Linked DNA regions of Schizosaccharomyces pombe. The gene in region 3 interacts genetically with the main gene of each other region. Each region holds a gene or a part of one and is shown on either strand. Other genes may lie near its edges.

Region 1 (6,665 bases), on a different chromosome or scaffold from region 3:
TTTGCATCCAAGAACCTTATTACTCCACTTCAAGAATTGATACATCTTTCTCGTTCTACTCTAGAATCCAATGTTACCTTTCAAGGATTGTTTGTATTAGAGAGCCCTTTAAGAGAATCATCTAAAGATGTTATTTCCTCTCTTTTAAGAAGCAAAATGGAAGTTTCGATTTGTTCTGGCGATTCATTGTTCACTAGTGTTTTCGTTGCTAAGCATTGCGGTGCATTAGACTCATGCAATTTTATATACACAGCTGAACTAGCAGATTCTGGGGATGATTGTCCACAAATCCATTTTGAAAAAATAGATTTACAAACTCAGAACTTTCAGCCCATTCCCGACGGCTTCTCTTTAAAAGATGTAATCCTCGAGAAGGATTCAAGCCTTTGTATGGATGGAAAACTACTTCAAAGATTATTGACCATGCTTTCTTTTAATGAAATTAAAATCTTATTAAGTAAACTAAGGGTTCTCGCTAGAATGTCCCCTTTTGACAAGGCTACATATGTGGAGCTTTGTCAAAAATATGGCTGCAAAGTTGGCTTTTGCGGTGACGGGGCAAATGACTGTATTGCTTTGAAGCAAGCCGATGTTGGAGTTTCTCTCTCTGATTCCGAGGCATGTGCTGCAGCTTCCTTTGTTAGCAAAAAAAAATCAATTAAGGATGTTTTTAATGTCTTATTGGAGGGCAGATGCTCCTTAATACTTAGCCATCGTTGTTTTCAATATATGGTGTTGTGTGCTATAGTCCAGTTTTCTGGTGTCTTCTTTCTCTATTTAAAAAATTATAACTTTAACGATAACCAATTTTTGTTTATGGATCTGTTAATCATATTTCCACTGTCAGCAGCTATGAGTTACTTCGACCCTGCTCAAAATTTGACAAGCAATCGCCCTAATTCAACATTGTTTGGCAAAGGAAGAGTAAAGGATTTAGGAATTCAATCAGTATTAATATGGCTATCCCATGGCTTGCTGACTTTAATACTACACGAGTTGAACTGGGTTGAATTACCTGAATGGCAACTTGAAAAATCAAATACGAAAAACGTGCTAGTGACTAGCATATTTCTTTTAAGTTCTTTACAATATTTAGGAATTTGTATTGGAATAAACCAAAGTTCCGAGTTTTTGTCACCTATTTGGAAAAAAAGTAAGTGAAAATCCTGTCTTTTGTTTATTAACATCTTATGATATAGAAACTTATGTATGTTTGTGTACTACCATTGGCCTTTGCAATATCTATCTATGTTTTGCAAATGAAAATCACATTATCTCTAGGTGTTTGCAAATCACACGTCTACCGACACTGTATCGTTTCATAATACTTTTTATGGGAGTTATCTCGTGCTGCCTTACGAGTATTCTGAACATGTAAAAAAAACAAAATTAAATATATATATGTTAATCAAAAACTTGCTTTTATGTGCAATTAGGGTAGAAAAAAAAAGGAGTTAAAGAGAGAAACAGGTTTGGGACATTAAGTAAAATATCAATGAATGTTGTATACGACCGGTTAACTTAAATATGCCGTAGCATCTTCCTCTAATTGTTCATTACCCCAAATTGAGCGAGAAGGTGTCCAAATTTGAAGAATATTATCTTCAGCAGCGGTTGCCATTGTCCAATTATAATTAGGACACCAATCCATGTCAATTGTACAAGAAGTATGGCCTCCGTGCATAAAAAGAAGCTCCGGAGGACCGTCTTGAGCTTCCTCAGCAGGCTGATCTTCCCCGATTCTTGAAAGATCCCAAACTAAGGTCCTTCTATCGGCTGAGGTAGAAGCAAGAATAGGCTCTTCATGAGGAGAAAAGCTAATTTTTGTTACAATGTCTTCATGTCCTTCTAATGTATGTAAGCGTTGATTAAGGTTCCGTAAATCCCAAAGTGCAATGGTTTTGTCAGTCGAACAAGTAGCCAAAATAAAGTCGTTATGAGGGTTGAAAGCAACAGAATGAATAGGACCGCTATGGGCATGCACACTTCGAGCTGGCTTTGTGGAAGCATCAGGGCGACGAATATCATGAACATGAAGGTACTGATCATAGGAAACTGAAGCAAGAAGATCCTGGTGCTTATAATGAAAGCGTACATCACTGACCTGTTTTTCATGGCTGCTTATATGCACTTTCAAAACTGACGCTGAATCTGACTCGTTGTAAGCATTCAAATCCCAACAAGAAAGAGTAGCGTCTTGCGATCCAGAAACCAAAGTACCCTTAGAAAGAAAATTCCAACAAACACTAGTACAGGGCTGGGTATGTTTGGTCAATCTATATTTGGGCTTAAGAGGAGACTCACTAGCCGAGCTATAAGATTCGAAGGATTCCTTGTCAAAAACCAACACATCATTATGATAGTTACCCACCGTAGCTACACAAGAATCGTCTTGTGGCATAAGCTTCGCACTACAAACAGACTCAGGATGAGAATAAAGATTTGAGATATTAACACGTAGAGAAGACTCGTCACCCGCAGATGCTCCCTCCATTGTAGTAGGAGGAACAGTCTGATTTAAATAGGGTAATTGAATAGACGCAACAGCTAGTAAGTATTTGCCAACATCAGCACGAACTCCCAGAAACATTTTCTGCTCAGTATATCCATGTTCTGCAAAACTATAACAAAAAATAATGGTAAGTTTTTTGAGTCACATAAACAAGATTAAACATTATGATTCAAATGATTGACTTACATTTGCTGCTCTGGATACCATTGTAGTGACATACAAGGCCATTCCAAAGCTCTAGTAATTATTAAATCGTAAAGGAACGGTGAGTTCTTTTTCCAAATTTTATACTCTGTTTCAGATTAGAAACACATTTTACATTGATCAACTAGAAATTGTATGTTAAAACGTTGCAGACATACCTTCATTGATGCATTTTTCTTGATTTATTCCCTCCTCCGAAGCCTGCGCTTGCTTGGAAGGATGGGGAACAGCTGATACAGCCATTATGTTCTAGTTAAAATGATTGAATCTGCTTTTTGGTGGATGGTGAGTAGACGCGTGCAGCGCTAATGTGCACACTAAGTGTTCTTAAATAGGTGCAGGTTGGTTTATAAATTAAGATTGTTTAGGTTTTATATAATCACAGCCGTATAGATGTTTAAATGGGAAAAAACAATAGAAACTTAATCTTGTCTCATGCTTCGGCTAGCGTCTTTTCATCTTCTCTCTCGACCTGAGATGCGTTTCCACAGTGCTAGAAATTGCAACTTTTAAAGAGACTGTTAATTGTAAAAAGTTGAATTACTAAAAATGATTATGTTTGCTGAACATATGTATACAGAAGTGAGATATAATTTGGGTAGCACAAGCTTCCCGATGGACTGCTATAAGACACAAGATGGAAAGATAAATTTATAGAGCTGAGAGTTAAGAATCTTTAATTTAGATGAGTTTTTTTTTACTTTGCTTTCATGCTAATTTCATCTACTCTAACTTCTGCATGAATCAGTGCGTCAAGAACAGAAACACTTTGAAGCTTTTTTTTAGTCACACAAGGCAACAACCGCTTGAGAAGCAGGATTATTAAAATTGGTAAAAAAATTATGTTCCTCTTAGTTTTAAGGTACATTCAACTTGTGTATCGCCAATAGCAAAACGCAGCCAAAATTTCTGAAGTTCTCCTTTTTTTGAATATTCAATTGAGCGTGAATAAAAAGTATATGATTTAAAATAATGATCTCCCACCTGTTCTGCAATCCTTGGAAAATGCATCAAGTCATACTGAAAACCAAACGAGCAAGAAGCCGAATTCAAGATGCCCTCGTATTCTTGCGTACCCTTAGTAAAAGAAATGAGAAATATATTTAATTTAATTGTTAAAATGAAGACAATCCCGTTTCAATATGTATGCCGTTCTTTACATCAAGAAAAAAGAACTTCGAAGCAAGTCATACCAAACTAAAAGATCGTTGATCTTAAAAAGGAACATTATTAATTTTAGAAACGATGATGAAGAAGCACAAAATTACCTTTCACTTAAATACTTCGTACACAATACATTTGTTTACATCTTTCTCTTATAATAAATCTACCTTAAGACACACACTTTCTCAGTAAGCTGATTAAGAAAAAGCAACGAAGATACTTTATCCATCTTTTATTTACATCTTCGAGACATGACGTTTCGTAATAATTCCCACCTTTAGACTAAACCGTTTCCACCAAATTTGTACCTTTTCTATTATTTTTCTTTATTTTTTACTCTCACATAATGAATTGTTTACTTCTAGGAAGAGGATTCTTGCACAGGTTTCACCCATTTCGCCCAGTCTTGTGTGAAGATTCGGCAAGTGCTGCAACTACTATCACCTCTCAATTTAAGCTGAATTACCGTCAAATCTTTATTGGAAGCTCTCTTGGTTTAGCAGCCGGATTTGCTTTAGGAAAATTGGGCCGTTTATTCATCGTTGCCTGCTCCGCCGTTTTCGCTACCATTGCTGTAAGTGCTTAAGTTTGATTCTTTATTTATATTTAGAGGTTTTAAAAACCTTGTGTTTCGCACTGAAAATCGTATTTATCTTTCATAATACTAACACAATACGTTTATTAGTATATTAACAGTAAAGGTCTGATCCGAATTAATTGGCCCCAGCTGCAGCAACAAGTTATAGGTCCTACGGAGCAGTATACTGGATTTCATTTCCCAAGTTCAGGTAGGTTTAATACTCAATCAACATTTCCTACCATTCGTAATTGGATCTGTACAAACCCCAATTTCAAGCTGAGCTTCTTTTCAGCTATGTATGTTGGATTTGTGTCATCATAAAAGTGGCTGAATTTCACCACAACACATTTCGATTTTGATACATTGTTCAGCCCTCGCACTCCTCTCAATTCCTATGATTCCTTTGAACCCCAACGTTCGTTCTATACTACCAATAGTGAAACATTTTGCTCACGCTCCTGTTCAGAAGCTTACTTTTCATATGCATCTATCTAACTATAATTGAGTTTTCATTCATTAACCAATCAACACGATTTTCTTTGTTTTGGTACCGAATTTAATTATTAAGTAGCTGCACACACTAATGTCTTAGACAGTGGAAGTAACTCAGATATGTCAGCTCCGTGCTCATAACTTTCTAGGTTTAGTTAAAAAGTGACTTACTAGTGCATGCAACAAATCACAGACACCACGCTCACTAGTGTACATATAAAAATGATAACGAACGTAATATAAAGCTTTAATGTAAGAATTCTTTAAAAATATATACATATACCCAAAATATGTAGTTTAAACACCAACTCTCTCCCTTTCCTCTTGGCAATTGGAGTGCCGGTGTTGAAACCACATGAGGTGTAATAAAGTTAAAATAGACAAACACAAGCGATTGTTGAATAGCGCTTGGCATTGTGTCAAACTATGAATAATTTGTGACGCGTTTCACGATCAAACCCATCCCTTCGCCCTTCTAGAGTGAATGCAATAAAAAAACAAAAGTCTTTCAATACAATTAAATTATGCATGTAAACATAGTTTAATCAAGACAGTAACAATAGTAAATCCTCATTTTCGAACAGCTTAGAAAGCTTCGAATGTCATGATTTGTAACTTTTAAATCCTACTCTCTACTTACAGACCAGCATTGCCAGCTTCACAAAGAGTGATGGAACGAACCCATTCACTCTTCATTATCTGTTTTGCTGTCAGGCGGTAAGTTGGGTTGGGATGAAGAATGTTGTACAAAGTGTTTCTGCATCTTGAACGTTCAAGCATTTCGATAGGTTCATAACCGCTCTCGTTTTTCCTATCCATCAGATATCTGGAGTAATACTCGTCTTCACTCTTTTTGGCAACGCGCCAAAGATGTCGACCGGTACGCATGGCCATATAGATAACACCACAAGCCCAGACATCTACTGCGCGTGGATCAAATTCACTTTCTGTATATTCTTCTGGAGCAATGTAGGGTGCGGATCCACAGAGGCCGCATGTCATGTGAGCCTCCTTCTCCCAGGCCATTCTAAAGCATTCACCATTACCGAAATCAGTGATTTTTAGACTTCCGCTAACGGTCAATAACAAATTTTCCGGCTTTAAATCACGATGAGCCACACCCATATCATGCAAATAATCAACACCACGCATCAATTGTTTGAAAAAACAATCAGCTTCCATAGGCTCTAGACGACCGGCGGCCATGATAAGCGTATACAAATCGCCTCCCGAACAAAGCTCCATCACTTCACAATAGTCACCCTTGCCGTCCTGGATCAGGTCTAATGTATGAATCACGTTTGGATGTCGCAATGAAGAAGAAATACAAAACTCAGATGTTAAGCGCTTTGTATACTTCTTTTGAGACTCGGCAGGCTTTCGACGGAACTCCTTAACGGCATACAATGTCTCAGAGCCGGAGTTTTGAGGATCAACTTTATGTGCGATTCTAACAACGCCAAAAGCGCCACGACCAATAACCTCCTGACAGCGACCATATTTCTCTACAAAACTTGCAGAAACTTTAGCGGGATCTTTTTTGTCAGCAAGCTTTTCTTGACCATATCCGTTGATCCATGATTGAACAAGACTGAGTTGATGCTGTGCATCAGCAGCTTCTTTAGCTATCCTCTCTTCCTCACGCTTTTTACTGTTACCGGCAAGGAAGTCTTTTAACATCTTACCAAGCTTCTCTTGCCGACGAGCAGGCCT
Region 2 (9,146 bases), on a different chromosome or scaffold from region 3:
ACCGTATGAATTCAGTGTCATGCGAATGCTGTGTTAAAGGAATATTCTTTGCCATATATTATCAAAATCTTGACATGCGCTGCTATTAGATAGTCTTCTTGGGGAAAACGTCAGTACAAACCGATTGAAACGTTACTGAATACGAAAATGTTTAAGAAACATTCTAACAATACATTTACCAATCTACAATTCTGAAAATTAACAACCGTAATCCCTTATATTCATTAAAATCGATAGTATACTCCATGAGTAGCATCTTGCAAACATTTGTGAAAATTAATTCCTACGAAAATTTACCACAAAATGAATACACATTTTAATGCATGACAACGGTAGAAACATTTCGAAACAACAAAACATACAGACAAAAAGCCAAATAATGATAAACATTCTTATTATATTTATTTGCCAAGGACAACGGCATCATACTTTTGCTTGAACCAGTTGATGGTGTCCTCAGCATTGATTTTGTGAGTGTAACCAACACGGCCACGTTGGGCTTTGCGGCGAGCAACACGCATACCAGGACGGTCCATAACTACATAGAAGTCCATACCGTAGATACCGATGGAAGGATCGTACTTGATACCCAAGTCGATGTGTTCTTGAATACCGAAGCCAAAGTTACCGGTAGCAGAAAAGTTGCGCTTTTTCAACTCATACTCCTTGACCTTGAGACCACGCTCCAAAATCTCCTCAGCTTTGGGACCACGAACGGTGACATGGCAAGCAATCTTTTCATTACGACGAATACCAAAACGACGGATGGTATAACGAGCCTTGGAAAAAACAGGAGTTTGACCAGAGAGCTGTTCCAAAACCTTGGCGGCACGAGTAAGACGATCACCCGATTCACCCAAAGAAATGTTGAGAACCAATTTGGAGATACGGAGCTCCTTCATAGGATTCTGTGCCTTTTCTGCCATCTTGTGCCTTTTCTTTGGTGGATGCCAAAGTATTTAGCACAATAACAAAACTTTCGTTCAGTGCTTGTGACTGTTTCATGTATAGGGTAGGGTTAGGCTTTTTAGTTATTGAAGACTGAACACCTAGTGTACAGCTTCTTTGGTAGGTGACTTTAAGACTCGTGCTTTTTCTTAAGAAAAACACAATATCAAAATGGTATGTGGCATTTGGAACTTATATACGATTCTAAAATTTTCGATTGTTGCTAACTGCAAGTTTAGGGCACGACAAAAATGGTTTCTTTACTAAACCATTCTTTGAACGTAACGACGAAGGATGGAAGAACATTTGTAGGCCAGTTACTTGCTTTTGATGGATTTATGAATCTTGTTTTGAGTGATTGCCAGGAATATCGCCATATAAAAAAGCAAAACGTCCCTAGCAACTCCGTATACGAAGAAAAGCGCATGCTTGGACTCGTCATTCTTCGTGGTGAGTTTATTGTTTCTCTTTCCGTTCAAGGACCACCTCCCATGGATCCTTCTATGCGTGGTAGTTTATTGAGTGGGCCGGGTGTCGCCAGACCTGCTGGTCGTGGTATTCCTCTTGGTCAAGCGCCCGTTGGTTTGGCAGGACCTGTGCGAGGAGTTGGATATACTGCTCCTCCACCACCTGCTGGTTTTGGACGTGGTGCCCCTCCCCCGGGTTTTCGTCCTGTTTAGGATGGTTCCGTTTGATTCGTTTTCTTTCACCACAGAGCATCCACTATTCGTTCATTAATAGCACGATCAACATCTGATTTTTGTTTTAGTGCGTTTTTGGTTATTTAAAAAGCTTTATAGTCTGCTTTTACGAATCGGTTGACTTGAACCTCATCGGTACTATTCTCATTCGATAACATCATAGTAGGCGCTTTGCTTTTGTGTATTTGTATAAATTAGTTTTTCCAACTTTCATTTTCTAATCCGAGGTTTTATGAGAGTCTCAGCGAGAATGCTTATGCGACTATCGTGAACTCTGTTTACCAATGCTGTTATGGATTAGGTGATACAGGCATAAATTATCCATAAATGGTCTGCTGTCGTCAGTTTGGTATCATCTACAAAACAGTGTTATCTTTTTTGTTTGGTAGTTCGAATATCAAACAAAACTGTACGAAAGCATTCCTTTAAAAAAATGATATTCAGCTAAGAGTGAATATATACGTTTTACTTAGCTATGTCTATATGACCCTTACTAGATTAGTTTATGATATTTAATGTTAGCAATTTTACTTAAAATAACATATAATATTGCTCATTTATCACCGCTCAATAGCAAGAATAGAACGACAATTCATTATACTAATCAAAGAAGAATAAAAATAAAAGAAGATTATAAAGAAAAAACCCGAGCTTCCAACATAAATTGAATATACAATCATAAAAAACCTGCCCAAAATTAGTTATAAGAAGAACTAGAAAAGAATGAACAAACGAAGGGCTAAAATAGTTATAGAGTATTAAAACTTTTAAAAGAAAGAGTAAATTAACGACATCGTACTAAGACGACTGCCGTACATACGAATATTTGGAGAATCCCTGTGTCTCTAAGCATTAAAACAAGAAATAATTCAATAAAGGAATGAACAGGAAGACGAAAGACAAAGGGATAGTAAAACACGTACAACCATTGAAAGTTTAAGTAAACTAACCGTCTCAAGCGTTGACAATTTGTAGACGTTAAATTCCTAGAAAAATTCGTTATCCTCCCCATTGTCATCACTAACATCAGAGTCGCTTTCGTTTTGTGCTCCGTTCGTTTGTCGTGAAATATCTGTGAAGATATGATCATAGTTAAGGATAAGCATCATAAATATATCCGAAGGGATATTTAAAGTAGGAGAAAACACTATACAAACGTTCCTAATGTTCATTTTGTTAACTTTTTCAAAAGCAATAATCCTACGCAAATGATGTAACAGGGAATCCAAAAGGGCAAAATTTTCAGGAGGGAGTTTGCTAATAACATCGCAAAGTTCTCCAAGGGCCGCAGAATCGTTAGGAACATTAGGTAACAGTTCGAATAATTTATGCATAGAAGTGTCTAAGAGGTTGGTAGGTAAATTTCTCAAATACAACTTTAAAAGTCCAGCAATTACATGCACGTCGAATTCCTCGTCTGACGAAAGCAAGTCGTAATCTACTCCTTCATTAAATTGTTCCTTAAGATGTTTAATTGTCGAGGCAGAACCACTTAACCGATAAATACCTTCCTCTTTCTCGGCTCGGCATGATTCCAAGTATTCAATGCATCTGTAGACAACAATTGGCAAACCGCTGTCATTGAATTGAGTAGAAATATTCACCGCTTCATTAAGAGGAAGACCGAATATTCCAGACTTACGGACAATATGTTTCTGTAATGGCTCAGCACTTGTTGTCGAACTTGGTGAAAGCATTACATTTGTTTCGATCACAGGTATATTCGTATCAGATATTTGTTCGTAATTTTCGGCCTTATGATGCGGAAACGCCCAAAATTTCATTCTCGATCTCTTTTCTTCATTTTGCGAATTCTGAGAATGAGAATCGATCAATAACTCTACAGGAGTAGATTGGTCAGTCTTCTCCAGCGAAGGTCTAGAAGACTGGATTTCTATCACGGGGACGTGCTTTTCAGGAGCATCTTGGTTTCGTCTAGTGTCAGCAATCTCTAAAACACTTCCCGTACTACTGTCGAATGACAACTCAGAAACACGATCACTAATCTCAAACTCTCTATGATTTTCTAAAGGCACCTGCTCCATTGAATCCCTTAATTTAGGACTCATGGTTAAATTTGAAACCAAAGAATCATCGGCATAAGAAGCAACATTTTCTGACGGTGGTAAAACGGGAGATGGAGAGCTGGATATATCCTGACTTAAAATTGCTTCTTGACTTACAGGTCTTGAGTCTGCTTTTCCATAAAAACGGATAGGAGAAGATTGATCACGATAACGAGAAGATCCAGGAAAATCAGAAGATAATACAGAGAAGGGACTAGCATTGAGAGGAGAAGTAGAGCCAGGAACCTGTCGAAGTATGGCTCGCAGCCAACTCTTCTGATCTTCAACATCTCTTGCTAAAAGAACGTGAACAGTTGCAGTTCCCGTTCGCGTTTCCGTTTGTTTTTCCTGAATTACAAAAGCGGATTGATAATTTTCACCAGTTAAAAATTCATGAGGAGGATCAATGATAGAAAATATAGGTAAATTGGCATTATAGCGATTCACCTGCGCATCTTTTAAATGGATTGTACCAAGTACTGGAGAATTTCGATTTTCAGCGAAATATAAAATATTGTCCTTTAAATAAAAATAACGTGAAACTAAACCACTGTTTTCAATGTATTTCAAAAGTACCCCCTCCTTTTGAGCATGCTCAGGAGGAAGAAAGAATACATCATGAAGGTATTCTCGTAAAGTGTCACTTGACAAAAATTCTAGTAACTTGATCCTCTGTTCCAACTTAAGATCAGTTTGAAATATATAACGAAAATAGGTATCGACAGAACGGCGTAACAATTCGTTTTGAATTACTGAAGAGTCATTTGTAAACCAATCAAGAGTAGGGAAAGGAGGTGCGCCGATGTCTAAGACGAAAGAAGTAGCAAAGGAACGACATTCTCCGATGCTCCTTGTGAAACTCCATACTTCATCTTTCCATTGTGAAGCTAAATGTGAACTCGCAGAGACACCGACCACGAATTGCAACCCTATGCAATCAAAATCTGGAGATAAAGAAGCCAAACTGGTTTTCATAAGCTCGAAACGAAGATAACGGACTAATGATTCATCCAACCTAAAGCTCAACTTATTGTTGTACAAAGTATCCAAAGGTAACATAGAACCTTTGGAATTCGACGTGGATTTTTCAACTTGACTTGATGGATGATGGTTATGAGATTTCGACTTGCTAAATGGCGAAATCGGTGAGAAGCTGTTGAGTAACCCTTTAGAAGACAATTTTCCTGGAGATTTTTGGCTAGAATTATCAAGTTTCGATGTTGGTATTTCTGCTAGAATGTCATTATCAAAAGATTGTGAATGATGAGGATCGATGACCGTCCAAGTTCTGTTGGAATCCGACCGGCGACGTGTAAAACATATGTCACTATCAGGTATTTTCAAGGTAGAAAATGAGGACCTTCTTGTATCGGATGAGCCAGTCTTTTGAAGAGACAAAGAATCGTTATCTTCTGAAAGTCCACGAGGAGGTAGGCTAGGTTTGTCATCAGGCCTAGGTGTGGTAGAAGACGAAGAAATTGGCGGAGGTGGAGGACTCTCAGTAGGACGCGCAGGGGTTGAATATGCTGGAACATTTGAGGTTGGAGCCAAGAAATTATTTGCTTCCTTATTTTCAATAATGGGAGAATTCGTTTCACTTCGAGCTTGTAAAAGAACATTTTCGGAAACAACTCGAAAATCAGAATGGAATTTACCTGACTTCGAGCTTAAATTATTAGTAGAATGCTTTGGGGAAGATATACCATGCGGTTTTACAATAGATATACTTTTTCTCCTAGGCGATGATGCATTAGCTCTTCCAACTTTTATGTCCAAGAATTGTTGACGAAGTTCGTCCTCAATTTCAGCAAAATGGTCTTGTTTGTTTGAATTGTTATCTTTAGGATCAATAGAAATATTACTGTCCGAGTTAAATGGAGTTGGCTTTGTAATTGGCCTACGAAAAGAAGATGTATTTAATGACAAAGGTGATAAATTGTCAGAACGGATAGAATCAATTCGTTCAGCTGACTCAGTTGATACCGAATAAGTCTTGATTGCTTTATTTCGGAGGGCCTGTATCCGTTCCTTTTGGCTGTCTTTTAATATTGGAGATGTCACTGGTGAAGATGCACCTGGTTCTTCAGATGAACGGTGCGAGCGTTTCGTATTCAATAAAAGTTTTGGTCTGGTCATATCCGACAATCTGTCTAACGACCTGGCCTTGATATCGGTAGTTTTATTATAATTATTTAAAGCAGATAACGAAACAGAACTAGATTTTTCATGGTCTGAAGAGCTAATGTGAGCAGAAGCAGTAGGTACGTCTTTGGAACTTTTCAAAGAAATCTTGGGAAATAATTTCCCCTTCTCATATGGAGAGCTATAAGAGTCCGATTGAGGAGAATTAGCTCTGGACGGTTGACTAGAAGGAAATGAGTCTGTAGACTCATATTTACTCAGTCGCATGCGTAATGAAGTATTATCCTTTTTTACTTTTTCCAAGTCCTTATGCAGCTCGTATATAATTTCTCTTTGCTTATTCACTAGCTTCATTAATCTCTCATTTTGAGATACAATCCCAGAATTATCCTCTTCTTCTTCATCTTCCCAAATCTCTGAATTCAGCTCAATTTTTGAATACTTCTCCAATTCATTTCCTTCTTTCATTATTTTTTCAAATAGAAACGTAGTTTCTGCATGAAAATAAATGATTTCGGCAGAATATGCGAAAGTGGTGATACGGCAAGTTGTGGGCTCTGACCGCAAGAAAAAACCTGTCGTCCGCACAACATCCATCTTTACCATTTGACGAAGAGAACAAGCAGCTTCGTATTGAGAACCCTCAAATTTTTGATTGAGACTCCTTCAAGCTTTGCTGCCGGTTCTCATACCGAATTTATACTAATAGCCCTTTGACCCGGCAATGGACGGAAGTGACTGTATGTTTAATATTTTTACTTTCGTTACTAACGTTTAGCTTTATTGAAATCTGTTGATGTTTCCAAATTAGACAATGGCTCTACCATTTCATTCCGCGCCCGAGAAGATGGGTTTCTAGAGTCAATATCTAGCTCATCAGGAAAATTGGTGGACATGGTTTTGGTATGATATAAAAGCTAAGAGTATCTGAACATTGAGTAAAATATTAAAATAGACACATTTAATAGTGTCGATTCTTTTGTCAAAAAATAGTTATCACTCTTACATCTATTTATAAGTCCATTCTTTTGAACTGGATAACACAGACTAATGAATGACAATAACTACAAGACAAACAGATATAGTCTATGATTTTATCCAAAAGGAGCAACTGGAGCAAGCCCATTGTGCATTCGTGTTGCTCGAAGATGTTCTTATTTCCATATACGATTTTACTAACTTTGTAAAAATTAGGATTCTACATCAAAAGAGTGCCTCCCTAAGTTTAGTTTTCAAAACAAGCTAGACTTCTACTTTTTATTCAGTGATCGTGTTCTCCAGTTGCAGAAGGAGAGGAAAGTACTTGTACTCATCCATTGCGAATCGCTTCAATCGTTTGATTCTTTTTTTGCTCAGAAGTTGAAATATGCAGACTTAATTTCTTCGGATAATGTACATGAAATTTTTTTACCAGATTCAAATGCGGCCAATATCAGATATCATTGGGAGTGGTCACCTCCTTCGGGTAAACTTCTGGAGTATGAATGCAAAAACTATTCTTGCATAGCCGTTTACTCTACTGAAGACTGTACTCTTGAACGTATCTCAAAATTTAGCTACTACACCGTATCTCGTTGCGGTGATTCTATGGATGATACATTTTTTTCGGAAAGCCAGCGTGTCACGTCGCCGCTAACTACTAGCCAGACGGTACAAACCCAACCTCCTCAATCTCCGGAAGCGAAGACGGAGCTTTCATTGATTAATACCAAGACCGTTATATTCCCAGAGAATTATGAGGATGGACCGTCATTCCGATCTATGTTGCATGAGCTTGAGCAAAAATCATCTCTTATGAAGTATTATTGCAAAAAAATAATGAAACGTATTGTCCAATTAAGTGATGCATACGATGCATCGCAAGTTGCTGTTATGAAATTGTCAGAGACACTTTCGGAAGCTTCTAATAGCACCAGTATGAATATGGACATACTTCTGGACAGTTATTTAACCAAGGCTATGGACATTCATGCCACCTTTATACAAAAACTTAATTATGATTTAATTAATCTTTTATATGAGCCATTTCATAACATTTACTCAAGCTTCATTAAGCCAATTGATGATAGACGACTTGAATTTGATGAACAAAGCAAAAGCTTTTATGGATCTTTGTCGCGTTATCTATCAGCTAAAAAGGACAAAAAGGGAGGAGACTCTAAATTTTTTCAAAAAGAGAAAACGTTTGCCTTACAACGATATGATTACTATTGTTTTATGCAAGACCTTCACGATGGTTCCATTATTAATGATATTAACGGTATTTTTTTGCAGTACTTTCATCGCCAATATGACCATATTGCACTTTTTAGTAATTTGATGAATAGTGTTCTTCCGAATCTTCAGCAACTCAATTTAAAACTTGAAAAAACAAAATGGAGTACAACCAGACGTGACAAGGGCAGAGAGATGCATCGTTCCCAGGTAATTCAAACTAGCGGTCGTCCAAAGTCCATGGCACCGCCTTCACCATCTCCGATTTCCCCTTCTTTCCCTTTACATGAAATACAGAGTCCTATGCCAAATCGTCGCATGGCAGCCTCTGCAGATGATATTAGCCAGACAAGCAATTTTACAACGGAGATAAAGGGAAAGTGCATTTCTAATGGGGGTAGTGCAAGCCCTGACAAGATTTTTAAAGAGGGTCTACTCTTAGTATTTGGTGCTACCGAACTTGGTACAGATCTAGCTATGGTTAGTAAAGCCGCTTGGCACAAGCACTGGATTGTTGTTGAGAACGGTTCTTTATGGGAGTATGCAAACTGGAAAGATTCCGTAAAATCTAATGTTTCATCCATTTCGTTAAAACATGCATCTGCTGATAAAGTTCGCAAACAGGGAAGGAGGTTTTGTTTCGAAGTTGTAACTCCGAAATTGAAGCGACTTTATCAAGCCACGTCTGCTGAAGAGATGGACTCGTGGATTGAAGCTATATGCGAAGCAGCAAAGATTTCGTCTTTCCAACTTTCTAGGGTTGCAACGCCGTTGAGTGCAAGTGTGAGACGACCCTCTAAGGTATTTCCACTATTTTCTACGAGTTTTGAGACCACGCCTATCAGCCGAAAATTAAGCGGTTCGGGTATTAAGAAGGCTTTCAGTAGAAAAGGCTCGTGGAACCTTCAACAATTTTTTCGATCAGACAATTCGGGTACTATGCATATGGAACAGTTAGAGAGATACCATGCCAGTGCAAACATTTTCATTCAAATGCTCCGAAAGACCGATGTCTCTAACAGTGTGTGTGCAGATTGCGGTTCGGTTAAAGATGTTACTTGGTGCTCGATCAATA
Region 3 (9,136 bases):
GAAATGTGCATTCATTTTTTTGCGCCTCAGAAAATATTCCTATACATTAGAATTACTTTACTAAATATCATTATCAAACCTTCGTTGAGAATAGCACGTATCGTTCCTGAAAGACAAGCAATTTCTTTTTCTAATATAAACACAAAGCCGTCGCCAGATATAAGTCTCACGTATTCTTTTTCCATATTTATCTACTGTGTAATACTAAGATTTCGTTTTATCACGTCAATTTCAAAAAAAATATAATACCCGACCGTCTTAGGTGTTCTGTAGAAAAAGTAATGGTAGCAAGGAAAGTAAACATTAATTATTTAGCTTACTTTCCGGACCCATAATTATTTAATTTAATATAGAAAATTGAATTTAATTTTCTTTTGAATCAAAATAGAGGACAATATATTACTGACTAAAATTCTCTAAAATTAAAAGGGAAAATGTAAATTTCAACCGTTAAAGAAATCATTTAAAACGATATTTAAGTTAAAAAAATATCGAAATTGGTTTCTGGCAAAATAGTAATTTTGTTTGTTGACAAAACTAGTTTGTTTACACTAATTTGGTCCTCAAATCATAGCAATTGGTATGCTGAAATCATCCATTTATAACATACTCTCTAAATACGCCATTCAAGAATATAAATTTTAAGCATTAATTGAATAGACGCTATACAAAATTTTATATTGATATTATATATATATATATACATATATTGGCTAGAGTCGCAATGGATAATCAGCAAAGAAAGGTACAAGGTTCATCGAGCAACACCTTTATAAAACGAGCTTTTCAACATTTGAAAAGTCTATTTACCGTTTGTTTCACTGGAGCCGACTATCTGGAAAGCGATATCGAACTCATATGCCAAAATGAGATTCAGCCACAAGGACTTGAAAAATTAAACGCCGATTCCTCAAATTTCTATTGCAATTCTTTAACCTCAAACCAAAGCTTGACTACTTCAATGGAAGCGCTTGATTTGAGTAGCTCTCTTACTACACCACATGCCGATAAACTTCTAAAACTCTCAAATTTAATAGCCGCCAAATCGTTCACAACTGAACGTAAGCTATCTGCTGCAGAATTTTTAGATTCAAGAGAAATTCATAATCCATTCACATACGGCTTCCTAGGTATTTTGTATGGAACAAGCAGGACTCCTTACTTGCATGCTCAGTATGCAAATTCGTTCATGTCCGAATCAGCAGTTCCGATATCAATTGAACTGAATAATAGAGAAGCCAAAGCAAGTATGAATCTAGCAGAGAAAAACTTTCCCGAAGGATTTGAAGACTTTGTTTCGTTTTTAGAGAACCCCAATATACCGTTAACGGTGCTACTTCATCATGTGATGCTTTATGACTTGTATTCAAATAATCTTAAAGATGCTGTGTGGGTGGCAGTAACAAACTACATGAAAAATTTAGTTGGAAATTATGGTTATACTGAGTTGCACATCAGGGCCGCACAACAAATGTTTGGGCATCCAAGGTTCTTGTTGGTACATCCGGAAGACATATATTGTATTTCTGGATCATCAGATTGGGTTTGTGTTTCTACTCAACATTTCCATTGCAACATTCATGTACATTCGGTTAGCGGCAATGCCATACGGAAAAGCAGAAATCCTATAATTCAAGATCTAAGTTCTATTTGTCAAAATTCCACTGAGTTTGGATGGCTAGCATTGACCCATGCGTTAAGAAAGAAAGGCGCGATTTTCCCGATCCATGCATATCTAAATTTTAACGCCAAGCTGTATGAAGAGTGCATTCCACCATCAATCCTTTACTTCAACAAAAATGATGAAAATATAAATGTTGGTAATATAGAAGACATCACTAATTACATGTATGAAACGTTTATTAACGAAGCTTCACTCTGTGATAAATTCATGAAAAGAAAACATGAAAGGATAGAGACACCGTTGAGCTCACAGGGAAGGGAAATTTCCAATACTCTTAGTCGGAAGCGTGGTGCTAAGGGAAGTAATCCATTTGAAATCGAAAATATGATGCCACACGCCTAGAAAATAAAGAATTCTCGCGGCATTATTAACGATCGTTAATGAGAGCAACTATTTTAAAAGAGTCTTTATTTCAGGATTTACTGAAAAATTACACTGCAAAGTGAGGCCCGCAGCTTTTTGAGCAGTATCAATAGCATCGTCCATACCCCAGCCTTTCGAAAGCAAAGCAGTGAAAGTACCGATAAAAGTATCACCAGTTCCGCTAGCATTTACAGGGGTTGCTATAACTTTTGGAACAGGGTAATACTTTACAGTCACATTTCCGGGGGTAAAAAGGCTGGCTGAGTTTGAATTCACTCCTTGAAGTTTCTCAGAGCTTATTAAAAGAGCACCATTAGGTCCTAACTTAACAATAATATTCTTTATGAAGGGAAGTAAATGAAAACACTTTTGTAAGATTCCGTTTTCTGTAATTTCTTCTATTCCTGTACTTTTCGTAAAACGCTCAATCTCATTATAGAAAGAGGAGGTGATACCAAAGCTGTTTAACTTCTGCCACCATGACTCATTCTCGAAGAAATTTCCGTCTTTCATAGCTTGAAATAATACATCGAGTTCAAACTTGTTCGGTGTTATAAAATCAATTGAGGCAACAGATAAGACTTTTAGTATCTTTAATGTTTTGGGACCACTGGTTGGTTCAAAAACGACTCGTTGCTTACTCGATTTAGATGTGGTTATATCTAGCATCAATGACGGTGAAATATTACCATCAAAACAAATGTACTTAGCGTCATTAAGATCATCCTTGATTTCTGAATAACTAAGGTTTTCCATGATGGCCATGTCAGCTCCAGCTAATAATAAATTGCCATTACAATCGTTGATAGCTGTGTATGAGCAAGAGGTAAAGTTACTTTTCTCAACAATGGTATGCTGCAAAGAAGACTTGGTAAGATACTCTTTAATAGAGGAAGTGGGTACGGATTTTGTTCCAACACATGAAACCAACTTCGTAGAAGCGCCCATTAAAGAAGAAGCCAAAGCCATGTTATGAGCAACACCGCCAAAAGCCTGTTCAGAGTGACAAGGATGAGATGTGCCAAGGAATTTAGATGTTAAAGGATTATCCAATTTCAAAACTGAGTCAATAGACACACTACCAACACATACAACTTCTGCAGGTTTGGACGTTGTTTCTGTAATTTTTTTTTTGCTCGACGAAACCCCTTTGTCACTCACTTTACCATAGAAAAAGTCTTGTTTAACCGGCTTCGTTTCAAATGTATTTCCGGTGTTGGTAGGGAAAAAAGAGCTTTTTTCTTTTAAAACAGCTAGTTCTTTTGCAATAAGGGAAGCCTTTTCGGCATTGTTTAAGACCAAATCAATATTAGTATTTAAACTTTTCCCTTTTGATTCTCTTAGAAGTTCTCCTAAAAGCCATGGAGTTACATTTTTACCAGTTATGCCAAGTTGTACACTCCTTTGCAAACAAGTTTCAATCAAAGCCTCCATTTTTTCGTAATCAATAGAACAATGGTGAGGGGTGGGAATGGCCACAAGAGTACCACATTCCTGGCCAAGCTGTATATTACTAAAGAGCATGTTAGCAATTAACTGCGGAGTTTCTAGAGAAAGAGGGCTCTGGAACTTGGATTCTCTTGAAAAAAATGCAGGGAAAGCCGATTTTGGAGGGCCTAAAGTGACAACAGGAACACCCTGAGTTTCTAATACTTCAAGTGTGCGTCCAATATCGAGTATACTCTTGACACCAGCACTGACGACGGCAACCCTTGTGCGACCTAATTCTATTAAATCCGCAGAAATATCCATGGAATTTTCTGCCCCACGATGAACACCACCTATACCGCCCGTTGCGAATACGTCAATGCCAGCTGCTCTAGCCAAGATCATAGTTGCAGCAACTGTGGTTCCACCATTGAGTCTCTGGGAAGCAACATAAGATAAATCTCTACGAGACACTTTATATGCTGTTTCACCTGATTTAGCAAGTTCGCTTAACTGAAATTGTTCAAGCCCTATAGTACATTGTCCATTTAATAGAGCAATTGTCGCAGGAACCGCACCCATGCTGCGTACCTTGCTTTCCACTTGAATTGCCAATTCTTCATTTTGAGGATAAGGCATTCCATGAGTGATGATAGTTGATTCTAAGGCAACGACTGGTACGTTGTTTTTAAGGGCTTCTGTCACTTCCTTGGATAAGGCCAGCGGACTATATCTTCTGCAAAGTATATTCCTCAATCCAGGGTTTGGATTTCTCTTCAGCCTTCTGAACCCCAATGGAATACGTGAAACTAACCGACAACCTCTATTCATAACGATGAGCATATAAGCAAGATGCTAAGAAAAATAGTGATAAATAGGTAAATAATATAGGACAAACGAAGAAAGCGTATATCAGATAATATTAAAATCGTGAATAAATCGTACTATACGCGCTCACTCCGCGTATCTAATAAACGTAAAAAGAATGAGTGGAATAAAGTTAACCCAAAATTGAGATTTAAAAAGGACGTATACTATTAGGAATAAAAGTTTAAGGAACAAAAAATGAAAATGCCAGAACGATCAGACGACGTTTTTTATATATAATCTACCTCGGCAAATCATATCTAAACATGGTGGTGTCTGATAATAAATGTACGCTTTCCCCATGGAAAAGCCGATCACAAAAAATGTTACTTCGCCGATATATGTCAAGATAACTTTATAGTAAAATGTAAATAAAAGGAGAGCAGGCAAACTGAATACTTTGCCGGCGCTCCGAATTTACTGATACAAAACTTGGAATTGAGTTTTTTTTTGAATTCTTTTATTTATTTTGGTGTCGAAAACAATTCATATTAAAGCAATAGACTTGAATTTTGAATGGAGTTGCAATAAAATGCAACTCTATTTAAAAAAGAACTTCTTTTATCCAGGAAACCAATGCCATGACCCTTTTTTATCTATTGTGTTTAATTGTGAAACCATGTTCTGATTAAAGTATAAATATTCATTCTTCTGAAAGGAACTGAATTTTTTATGATGTTTGCATGGCTTAATTTGTCGAATTGTTTCATTATTTTTATAAAAGAATTTTACATTATTTACTATATTTTTATTCTAAGTACTAAGAGGTTTTTAAGCTGACTGAAGTGTAAAATTACTTTACCCAAAAAATTATATTACTATCATTTTTACAGAAAAGATAAAATAAGGATCAAGATTTGCCAGACTTTTGAGTTTTACCATATTCACATAATCCAATTGACAGACAAGTTTACTATAATAAAACAAATGTATATCTGTTTACAAACTATTGTTGTTAATTCCCTCCTTCAGGAAAAAATGTATCACTTCATAAAATGGTTGAACTTAGGTCTATGACTAAAAGATATTAACAGCAAACTAAGTAGTGCTATCTTGTTCTGAAGCATATTTTTACAAGTTTTATTATTCAATCTTTTAATCTCTTTCTCCCTTTTAACAATGTGCCTTGTATATTAGGATCAACCTAGATTGTTTAATATTTTCTAGTATTTTAACGAATTGCTTTTTTACTTTTTTCCATTTAACTTCCCCTTGTTTTTTAAGACTTTAGTGTTTATCTTGAAATTTACTTGACATTATACGCATGACATTTACCTAAGGAACCCAGCAAAAGCCTAGTCTTCGTCGGTTTTGACGAAATGAGTCAAATACAAGATTTAAAAGATGAGAATGTCGAAATGGATATTGATCCACAAGAACAAAACGAAAAAAAGCCTTTGCTTCTGGATGAATTGACCAAATTTACGATTTTACATCCCTATAATTATGATAGTCATATTAAACTCATTGAAGAGTTAAAGCGTCTAGATAAAAAGAAGGAGTTGTCAGAGGCTAGAAAGACTTTTCAATCGATCTTTCCACTTTCAGAAGGTATGTCAATCAACAATCGTCTAGGTAAAGCGTGTTGAGGCGAATTCCATAGACTCGCAAAAATTATTCACTAATTACTTTAACTTTGTTAATCTTTTGACAAGCATTTATTAATGGTTTTTAGATTTGTGGGTAGATTACCTTTTAGATGAGTGCAAAAACTGTAGGACTTTAGACGACTATGTGAGGATAAAAACATTGTTTGATTTGGCAGTTCAAGATTATCTGTCAATCAAAATTTGGTGTATGTATCTTGAATTTACGCTAAACTTAATGGACACTTCTTCTTTTGAACAAGAACAGTCTGAATTAAACGGCGTTATTACTTTGACAGATGCCCATTCTCTTTTTGAACGTGCATACCAAACTTGCAAATTTCATTTTTCTAAAGTAAGGAACTAAAAATTTTCTTCATGATAAAAATGTATTTACTAATCAATGTTTACAGAGTCAATGTGTTTGGACGTTATATTTGGAATTTTTACAGACGTTCGGTGATGCTCTATTTGAGGGAGAAGAAGAGCAAGAAATTGTTTTTAAAAACAAGATATATGATTTTCATATTGATAGATTAAAACTTCCACATGAGCAGATTGAAGAAACGTTTACTTCTTTATCAACGTTTGTCACAAATAACTGGTCTCCTTCCGAATATGAGGATGTTATGGTGAAAAGCAATAAAGTGTATGAGACTACACTTAAAAGAAATGCAAAAATTTTTAATAAAGAACTATTGTTAAACAGCGCAAATCATTCTCTCGAAGCGTATATGGATTTAATTAATGATGAATCGCGACGCTCAACAGCTGAGTTACAATATATAACAACTCTCTATGAGCGTGCCATAGTTTTGTATCCCCTCATTCCGGAACTCTGGTTGCAATACACTGCCTGGCTTAGTAAAGTGGATTTTTCTTCTTCTCAAGCGTCCAGTGTAGCAGAACGAGCTACTCGTAACTGTTCATGGATTGGGCGTATTTGGTCCATTAAACTGACTTATATGACGCTTTCTGGAGCATCCACATCGGCTGTCTGTGAAGAGAAAGATCGATGTTTGAATTCAAATTTGCTCGTAAATTTTGACGAGGTTATTGATTTTTTTAGCGGATTTTTAAAAGCATGCCTATATTTGTCTTCTAATGAAGATAAGCCACAGGAATTTTTGAAACATCAAATTCATAAAGTCGAAGACTATTTGCGAAAAAATCATAAGGGATCAAAGGATGCAAGAATGCGCATTGAACTTTCAAAAATTTATTTATATTCAGAAATCTCTGATTTTGAAAGCGTAGAAAAGTGCTGGTCTGATATGTTTCATGATTTTCAAAATCAGGCATTATATTGGATTTCTCGATACATAAGTACGATGAAGTATAACCCAGAGCTTGCGGCTGAGACGTTAAAAAAAAGCCTTTACAAAAACGTTGATCAGCCTCAACTTCTGTTCCAATTTTATCAATCCATTATGGACCTTAATAATGACTGTTTCACAAACACATCACATTTATATGACGTTTTAAATGCACAGAGGATTAGCTTCAAACGTCAATTGGATTCTTTTGCTGAAGAAACGAAGCAGACTGTCGAAAACACCGAACCACTAAAAGTGCCTCAAGCTGATGATACAGCCGCCCTTTCAAAGAAAAGAAAACCTGGGCAAGAAGGTGATGTGTTCAAAAAGTCGAAACCTATTGAGCAACACAGGAATAGGGAAGAACTTACAGTTTTGGTTACCAATCTACCTTCCGATATAAGCGAAAATGAGTTGAAAATTTTTTTCAAAGATTGTGGTAATATTATACGCATTTTTATCCTCGAAGACAATCAAAAGGATGTTAAAGTGGCTCAGATTGAATTTTCTGAAACCAGTGAAGTTCTTGCTGCTAAAACAAGAGACCTTAAATCGATAAGGGGTCATGAAATTTCTGTTCAAATTCATGTAGACACGAACCTCTACGTTACCAATTTTCCTCCGACTTATGATGAATTAGATATAACCAAATTATTTTCTGCATATGGTAATGTGGTTGACGTCCGTTTTCCTAGTCTAAGGTATAACACGAACAGGCGTTTTTGTTATGTACAAATGAGAAAGCCCGATGAGGCACACAATGCCCTGCAGTTACATAAGAAGCTATTGGAAGAGAAGTATCCTATTCAAGTCTTTATATCAGACCCGCTTCGGCGAACTCCTAGAAGCGGTGCTGTCTATGAGGGTAGAGAACTCTACGTTACAAATATTGATTTTAAAGTAAATGAAAAAGACGTAGAAACATTTTTTAGGGATTATGGGCAGGTTGAGAGTGTTCGAATACCGAAAAGATTTAATCAACATAAAGGTTTTGGATATGTGGTAATGACTACAAATCAAGATGCTGAAAATGCACTTTCTGCTGCTGGAAAGCAATTGGGAAATAGAGTTTTGAACGTTGTTTTGTCGAAGCCTCGAGAATCTCTAGAGAAAACAAGGGTATCATCCAATGACAACCGAACCTTAGCTAAAAGCTTTGAGACTACTGAGTCAAATAAAATGTCAACGCCAAAAAAATCATTCGAACAAATCAAAAGCAAAAGCCTAGGAGTCACTAATGTCGACGGGACTGTTAACGAGGCTAGACTTAGAAGTTTATTCGAAAGCTACGGAAAGTTGTATAGAGTTGTTCTTCATCCTGAACATGAAGGTGCTGTAGTAGAGTTTTTGGATATTCATGATGCGGGAAAGGCATCCTTGGCATTAGAAGGACATGAAATTGGTGGCAGGTTACTACACATTACCACTGTCAATGAAATGATGCACAATGTCCCATCTAGTATGAATCATTCCGATTACAATACCTCTGCTACACGCCCACGGCGACTCGGAAGCCGAACGTTTCAAGGTTTCAATTCCAATCATTCCAATATAAATTCTAAGAAGGACGATTTAGACGATAAAGAAATGCAGATAGATGCACCTAAAAGCAACGATGATTTTAGGAAAATGTTTTTAAAATAGTCAGCAATAATTAGATTGAATGATTAAAAAAATATTGAAAACCTAACTTTTGATAATTTTGATTTATTAACATAAAAGACGAACAACACCTCATGTACGTGAAAGACTTGGGAGCGGATTTCCAGGTATTTCCACTATTTTTAGATTAGCACTATGATCTTTGGATAAGATTGCAAGTGAAACCAGATTTGTAATGCAGCAACATAATAAATTTTTTAAATAGTTGGTTTGCAAGAAATACGGGTTGA
Region 4 (7,671 bases), 2.8 Mb from region 3:
GAAGACGAAGAAGACGAAGACGAAGAGGAAGAGGAAGAGGAAGAGGAAGATGAGGAAGAAGAAGAAGAAGAAGACGAAGAAGAAGAGGAAGACGACGAAGACGAAGAAGAAGAAGAAGAAGAAGGAGATGTTGTTGTTGTAGTTGAAGATGAGCTTGGAGATGATGATGAAGACGAAGAGGTCGTAGACGACACTGACGAGCTAGAAACCGTGGTTTGCAAAACCCCATTGCCAGTCAGATAAACCGACCAGTACAGATCACCACCACACATAAGAGAACCATAACCTGGACAAGGCGTTGTGCAAAGAGAACTTGAAACTTCTGTAGCAGTAAGTGTACTACCGCAATAACATTGATTATTACGGATAGCTACAAATGCTATATTATCAGATCCACCACAAATGTTGTTATAGCAATACGCTGGATCAAGATAGGTAAACGTGCCTTGTTCAGTTAAGCTACTATCCACGAGATAACAGCCATATTGAGTGTTCATGTCAGCCGCCACCAACCGAGTAGAAATTATCAAAAGGTAAACAAAAAATAGTAACCTCCCCTTAAAGGGAGAGGAATTTAAAAAGACCATGGAAATTAAATCGTGCGTAAGTATAATAGGAATGAAAATTAAAACTTAAATTTGGTAATAAAAATTTTGCCCTCAGTAAATTAAGTTGTTTTGTCTATAGACTAAAGAGAAAACAAATTATTGGACCAGTTAAGAGAAATATTATCAAAAGGCGCAAACCGAATGAAAGAAAAGAAAGATTGGGTAAATAAAATAAAGAGCGTAAAAATTCAAATGCCAATGAAGAAAATAATTGTTGCAAAATCACTTCTTTATCAACATGAAAAAGAAAACAATAAAGGATAAAGGCTCAGCAACGCAAAATCAAGAATTATTAAGACCGAGCAGTTGGTGAAAAGTACTCAATATCCAACTTCGTTTGTTCCGAAATTAAAAACAGAATTTAAAAAAAGAACGAATAAAAAGTAAAGAGTAAAGATTAATTCAGAATTAAAAAAGAACGCGAATTCCTGAAGTTCAACAAAATACTCGGGGACGAAAGTACAAACCCGTACCGAACTTGGCTATCCACAGAGCTTCCGTTTGAATCGTTTCTTCGAGCTTCCCAGGCTTGAAAACTCCTTTACTTTAAACAATACACTAGTTCCTTAATAAGGATACAGTGTTTGACAGATTGTCGTCAAAAAACACTTAAGAATTCGATTAGTTGTTAAGTGGAAAAGTTAGCTCCGACGGGCCCCATAAAGGCTGAAGTCAGTCGAACCTAGGCGAACACTATTGACCCTTACCGAAACGGTATTTTTGCCTTATACTATTTAACGAATGAAAAAGGCTCCGATTGATACTTGGTTGAAACTGCGAATAGTGCGATGTTGGGTATCACTATTGACCGATATTGCCTGTTAAAATGACCTAAACGTTACTTTACATAACTCCTTATACTGTATTACACGTGTTATATATTAAACGCTAACTGATTTTACGATTATCTTCTTTAAATAGCAATAATAACTCTGTACACTGCGATATCACCGTTTTGTAGAACTTCTTTAGCTGCAGTATGCCCATAGCAGCAACTTACATATTCAATTGCTCCTGTAGTGAGAATAATTATTCTGTCTATTTAAATGAAGTTTATATCTTAAAATAAAAGATAGTTATCTTTCTGGATTTCCGGTTTATCTCTTGAATGGAAAGACACCATGTCGAAGTACCCACGGTTAATTTTTTACTTCACATCAATATGTACAAATCGCTAATTTGAATATGATGCTTAACCTAGAATAGTATATATTTATATATATATATATATAAATTGGAGTATTATCTCAAGTAAATAAGACACAGCTGATTAGTTTCTCGGTTTGACCAGTCACCCTGGTTTTCTAACCTAAACCACTTCTGCTAACTTTAACAATAGCACGTAAACTATCTTTGGAACCTTCATTTTCGGGATGACCAAGTCCTTTACCTGCATACCATCCTAACTTTTCGAGCAACCGACGACCTGGATTTTCTTTGCTAATTTCAGGGGCATCTTCTCCAACAATTTGGCCATCATATACACGTGTGGCTTTACTCGACCTCACAGAGGAAACAGTCATTCGAGATTTCCTACCAGATTTGGAAAATGACTGATACTCAACCCTGGTCTGTAAACGCTCCATAATCCTGGTAAGTGAAACCAAATCCACACTAGATGCATCAAATTTATGAGTTTTGGAAAGCATAGTATACCGCTTGTTTCCAGATCCATAACTTCTCGACTTCAAGTTCAAATCGTTGGCAAGCGCATGAACCAATCGACGAACATATTTTCTGCATGGAGGAAGGGAAATTTCTTCAATGGCCGAGTGCTTAAACTGTTGCATCCGTTGATAAACATCATTTATAAATATCTTATCAATTCGTGTAAGACTAGCATTGTCAGAATCGGAAGAAGACGGCTTCTGGCTTTCGCGCAAAAGTTTCTTTTTGCTTTTCTTTCCAAGTAGCCCCTCAGAGCGGAGTTTCTCCCTTTCCGCTCGTCTTCTTGCCTTTTTGCTTTTATCTTTAAGCCATTGTTCTTGCAATTCAGCGTACAAGTTCATGCTCTCATCGTCCAAAGAATTGGAAAAGGCATCTCCCATTCTAGCGGCCACAGCCTTTCCTGCCTTTCTCTCTAATTTCTTTTGAGCTTTACGCATTTTTTTAGGAAGTTTGCGATCTTTTTTCAAACCTTTTTCTTCTTTTACCTTCGCCCCTTTTTTGCTTTGAGAAACTTTTTCCGTTTTTTGAGTTGAGGGGTTATTGTACTCTTCATCCTCACTGTCATAATCATAAATAGTAAAATCATTTTGCAAAGTATCTCCAATACTAAGGTATGCCTCAATCTCGGAATCATCACTAGCATCAAAAATTGCCAAAAGCTCTTCTTCATCTTCATCTTCATCTTCTTCCAAAATATCATCTTCATCTTCGGCTAATGAATCTGTATTTCCCACAAGTTCCGTCGTTAACTTAGCATAATCATAGTCATCTGATCCCTCATCAAATTCTAAAGATTCCGAATCTTCAAGTGAAAAATTTACTTTACCCTCTGTCTCATCGTAATTTGATATTTCAGGTTTTTCTTTCTCCTCTTCCTCCTCTTCTTTCTCTCCTTCTAGCTCTTCATCTTCGTCCTCATCATCATCATCTTCTTCTAAAACGGAGAGGTCGGCAAACTTGTTCATAGTAAACGTAGTCATTTTATCGGTGGTGTCATCAATATCAAACTCGTCTTCATTTTCGGTACTCAACTGCTCCTGTGCCTGAGCCAAAGGCGGTGGAGGTGCAGCGTTATTGTTAGCAATATCATCATTGACCAAGTTTGGAACATTTAGTATGTCTAAAGAGTCATCATTATCTTTAGAATATAACTCCTTCTCAGATTCTTGTTCTTTGTAACACAACTGCTCACTTTCTTCTGTAGATGAAATTTCCTTATCACTTGGTGCAAGATTTAAAGAATGCTGAATCAAAACATTTTCGTTCATGCTTTTCTCAGGAAAACTTGAAACTTCTACATTCTTGGTGGTATCAAACGCTTCCGCATATTCCGGAATTTTCTTTACTTTCAATGTATCACCTTTCGAAGTAATTGCTTTAAATAACACAATGTCCAACGCCTTTATTTCACCGGTTTTTGATAAATCTTCGCAGGACTTAACGTTGGTTTCCTTGGGAAGCATAATCTCTTTGCTTTGGTGCTTAGCTTCATTGTGGGCATTTTGTTCATCGATTAATTGACACAATTCTTCCGCCGGGTTGTAATTGTCCTTAGCACGTATAAAGGTAATTCGGGGCCATTGTGAAATTCGACTACTAGGGTTTAAACCAAAAGGGCTTTTAGAATTATTGGATCCCTTAAATCTTCGGATTCGTGTATCACCACGAAACCTGGCAGAAGTTTGTAACTGATCTAAAATCTGTAGATCATCAAAATTTGACATTGAGGGATACAAGTCAAAAAATATGATAAAAAAAATAATATATAATTGTTTTAATAAATAATGATGGTGAAATCCTAAATTGTGAGGTGCGTAAACCAAATGGTGGTAGTAGGATGGAGTCTTGGGGGAAAGTGCTTCATATAGTACACTAAACGATTTTGCCACGGTATTAAATACAAATTTCTAAATATTCAATTTACAATTTAACTATTAATTTCAAGTATACACGTCTATTTAAACTGAAGTTGAGGAGATTCATACATTGACCGACTCAAAGTTGAATATGAATTAACCGACAGTAGCTCATCATGTAATTATAAGTTATAAATTTTTGTATAAAACATATAAAACAGCCAAATAACTATAATGTAAATAGTGCAAGAAATAGAATGTTAGAATATAGAACGCTATACTAATGCAGTTTCTTTTACGTCCCTCGAGAGCAACGACAGGGGAAACGATTTGTTCTTGAAACAGGGAGCAATGTAAAAATACATAGAATTACTTTATAATGAAAAAAATTCCTTTTTATTTTAAAAGTATAAAAGAGAAGCGTCGAATAGGGAACGAGATGACAAATTCTGCATATGATGAGAACGGTAAGGAATTTGAAGTTGAACACATACACAAAAGTGTATTCAGAAAAAGGAATAAATAATGTAATACGCTCAAAAAAAAGAAAGTAATAGAAATTTTTCTTAAGAATTTCAAACTTAGACAACGAAAAATAACAGTGAGTGCAGATATATGTATAAGTAGCGAGCGAACCGAATATTAAATACAAAAAAACAGCTATACCTTGGTACGTTTTTGAGCGTTCAGCATATCAGAAGAATAGAAGTTAGGATTATTGTTGGGATTTTCACCTTCAACCATTGGGGAATGGGTACCTTGGCGTTTAATCCCCTGAAGACTATAGGGCGGAACAGAGGCAATCGGCATGGATTGAGGAAGAATTGATGGATCCATATTGGGGATATTATTTTGGTCCAAAAGACGATTAGCTTGACTAATTGCATTAGCAGGCATAGTGGGAGGTTGCTTGGCATAACGATAATTAGAGGCAAGACTAGCAACATCACCATTCCTAGGCGAGCCATTAAACCCCGAGGGGGCTGGATTTGCATATGGAATATTAGAGGAAGTAGACTTTTGCATTTGATGCTGTTGTTGTAAAGCTGTAGCAAATTTATGTAAAGCGCTAGTCGGACCCGATCGCTGAGCAAGAGTGAAGGCTATGAGATCGCGCATTCCCGAAATTGTTTCAGTAATTTCCATGAACCGCATGATGTGCGGTTCCAATCCATATTCGTTGACGGGTGAATCCGGCAAAAGAGAAGAAGATGAGTTAATATTTACACTTTCGGATGACGGATCCTCACTTTTTACCCCATCGTGTTGTATTTGATTTTGAGGAGGCCGCGACTGCGAAAGGGCTAGGGAAGCGTTTGTCATTAACTCGCGCAAAAGATACTCGGAATGTCCGACAGCTGAAAACTCTAAAGAGTCTAATTTTAACAAAGGAGCACGAAAGAAATGAGCCCGCAAGTGCCCCGATACAATTACCTGTACACCGCCTTGATACTGATATAAAATGCTTGCCCTTGACGATTCCACAAAATACCCATTGTTTGGAATGGCAAATTCCTTTGTATTTCCCAAAAGGAACGACATCTTTTTAAGTTTGCCGCAATAACTCAGATATAAGAAGCGCGGAAGTGCTGCATACGATAATTCAAACAATTTCGGCTCCTGGTTTGGCGAATCTTTGTAGTCGATGTTATAGCGAAATGTTCCCTTTTCAGTATAAAAATCATGCACAAATCGTCTCCAATACCCAATATCATCTTTCATGGTACTTTCCCATCCTGACATTAACTGTTCATTATATTGTAATAATCGCAAAACACCGTATCCTAGTATATTCGAGCCATTATGATACATCATGGACGCATAGTTTGCAACCATAGCTGCGAAATTTACAAGAAAGCCACCAGCGCTGCAGAATTGGATTTGTTCAAAGTGCAAAGCGCTTGTGAAACATTAACGGCCGGAGCCCGCCATGCATGGTTAACCCTTTAAGTGAATTAGAGATTGGCACGCTACGTTAAAGACATTTAGAAAATGTGATGCGCTGTGTTATTACAAACGGCTTGTATTTGGGTGAAGATAGCATCTTTCAAACGCCTGAATTTGTGATATAAATTAACATTTTACAAATTAAAATATAGAATAAAAAATTCCTTCGTAATTTACCTTGTTCCCATTTTTTACACTGATTTCGAGTATCAATATTAATGAGATCAACGCCAGTTTTCCGTATGCCCTTTATCAATGTTCTCTTATTTTGTTTTAAACACCACCTTTCAATTCGATATATTAAAAAGAATGAAAAATGTATGTGAGAGTATGTCAAGATAACTTGCAAAGTAAGAGTCAGCAGATTAATAAATAGAAAATAATATTTAAAAAGATTTAGGAATGTCTTGGTTTGATTATTTTAATATGTTGTAAGGTTCCTTTCCGAATGTATACAAGCAATCGTAGTTTACAGATCACAAAATCGGTAATTTATTTTCAGTGTCTCTATACATTATTACTTATTTGATGATTAGTTCTTGAATTTGAAGATCATCAAAATCATTGCCCTTACTAAATATTGTTGAAATAAAAATTTTGCATCGGTATTAAGTTTTGTGTTTGTATACCTCGAAATCAACCAAAAAAAATTTTTTAAATGGTGTCGCATAGTGTAATGTTTATAAATTAAGTAAAAAAGGCTTGATTTCAGGAAAGATTTGATATAGTTGATGTATCTCGAATTACTTTATTTTGAAAAAAAGCAATGAATGCGATATTGCAAGAGAAATCATTCATCAAAATTTTTTCGTTATACAGAACAACAGCACAGTTAGTATTTCTTGATAATACTGATTACAATTAATATGGTTTTTTTTAGAACTAAAATTGATTACTAATTCATTCTTTGGTCTAATTTCTATATCGTTTTTCGAAAATTACTACTCCATTAATGTTTCTCTAGCTGTTTTATTTACTTACTTTAAATATTTCTCACTATAGCACGTGAGTGTAACGAGGTAACAAAATTGACTATATGAAACGAGAGTTAGTTTCAAAGAAAAGGAAAAGCAGGTAATTCTTTTACGGTCATTTATCATTGATTTTTTAGGTATAAAAAAATTTTGTGTCGAAGAGTTGTGAAATTTTTAATAGATTACTCAACACATGATTTTCTAGATGAGAACTGTAAAGTGTGTTCTTGGTTGTGAAAAGAAAACATATAACGATGAATAAAGAAAAATAAAAATCTCGCTGTCCTATTTAATGTACTTCCATTTTTCGCGTTTTAATATGTTATAAACACATATCGAATTTAAAAGTGTTGTAGAGTTGTTTTGTTATAGTTTGTTACATTACTCCAACTTGCTACTTTCTAAAACGTTCTGTCCATATACCGTACTGCAAACCTCACCACCGTAATGCGCAAAAGTGCATATTTGGACACAAGCGATGTCAACGGTTGCTACACACTTCTTCCCCAACCACTCACATCCTTCCAGAAATTTGAGGATGAAGCAGGGTTAGGGTTTTAAAAGGTATATATACCGATCAGACGCCTTCATAAGCCAACGTTCTACTTCCATGAGTCT

What was found.
Region 1: mutations in SPOM_SPBC1861.05 (region 3) and prw1 together harm fitness less than expected from each alone (positive genetic interaction), as found in Schizosaccharomyces pombe (one large-scale study listed by BioGRID).
Region 2: mutations in SPOM_SPBC1861.05 (region 3) and rga2 together harm fitness less than expected from each alone (positive genetic interaction), as found in Schizosaccharomyces pombe (one large-scale study listed by BioGRID).
Region 4: mutations in SPOM_SPBC1861.05 (region 3) and sqs1 together harm fitness less than expected from each alone (positive genetic interaction), as found in Schizosaccharomyces pombe (one large-scale study listed by BioGRID).

What each region holds. Positions count from the first base shown.
Region 1 is NC_003424.3:5,108,916-5,115,580, forward strand, and holds prw1 (histone chaperone, Clr6 and Rpd3L complex subunit Prw1), read right to left. Parts: upstream 2,968-6,665; 5' UTR 2,960-2,967; coding exon 2,875-2,959; exon of another isoform or gene 2,805-2,874; coding exon 2,699-2,804; exon of another isoform or gene 2,622-2,698; coding exon 1,517-2,621; 3' UTR 1,379-1,516; downstream 1-1,378. Other genes in the region: Ca(2+)/Mn(2+)-transporting P-type ATPase P5 type Cta5, read left to right, coding at 1-1,153, 1,200-1,378; fun14 (integral mitochondrial outer membrane (MOM) protein), read left to right, coding at 4,227-4,454, 4,566-4,781; serine/threonine protein kinase Hal4, read right to left, coding at 5,589-6,665. UniProt on the Schizosaccharomyces pombe protein: Has a role in chromatin assembly and chromosome segregation. Involved in the deacetylation of histones.
Region 2 is NC_003424.3:3,345,934-3,355,079, forward strand, and holds rga2 (putative Rho-type GTPase-activating protein Rga2), read right to left. Parts: upstream 6,326-9,146; coding exon 2,636-6,325; 3' UTR 2,170-2,635; downstream 1-2,169. Other genes in the region: rpl1101 (60S ribosomal protein uL5), read right to left, coding at 402-926; Sm snRNP core protein Smb1, read left to right, coding at 1,120-1,122, 1,188-1,628; cnt6 (centaurin ADOP ribosylation factor GTPase-activating protein), read left to right, coding at 6,582-6,597, 6,636-6,760, 7,052-9,146. UniProt on the Schizosaccharomyces pombe protein: GTPase-activating protein for Rho-type proteins.
Region 3 is NC_003423.3:4,135,733-4,144,868, reverse strand, and holds SPOM_SPBC1861.05 (carbohydrate kinase), read right to left. Parts: upstream 4,621-9,136; 5' UTR 4,319-4,620; coding exon 2,075-4,318; 3' UTR 2,027-2,074; coding exon of another isoform or gene 725-2,026; 3' UTR 501-724; downstream 1-500. Other genes in the region: elc1 (elongin C), read right to left, coding at 1-39, 80-185; protein Mug131, read left to right, coding at 725-2,026; RNA-binding protein Prp24, read left to right, coding at 5,662-5,893, 6,018-6,283, 6,342-8,888; naa35 (NatC N-acetyltransferase complex subunit Mak10), read right to left, coding at 8,979-9,136. UniProt on the Schizosaccharomyces pombe protein: Bifunctional enzyme that catalyzes the phosphorylation of pseudouridine to pseudouridine 5'-phosphate (PsiMP), and the reversible cleavage of pseudouridine 5'-phosphate to ribose 5-phosphate and uracil. Is involved in a pseudouridine degradation pathway.
Region 4 is NC_003423.3:1,300,029-1,307,699, forward strand, and holds sqs1 (G-patch and R3H domain-containing protein), read right to left. Parts: upstream 4,108-7,671; 5' UTR 4,001-4,107; coding exon 1,913-4,000; 3' UTR 1,569-1,912; downstream 1-1,568. Other genes in the region: transmembrane receptor Wsc1, read right to left, coding at 1-587; ldb1 (LIM domain binding protein), read right to left, coding at 4,793-5,968.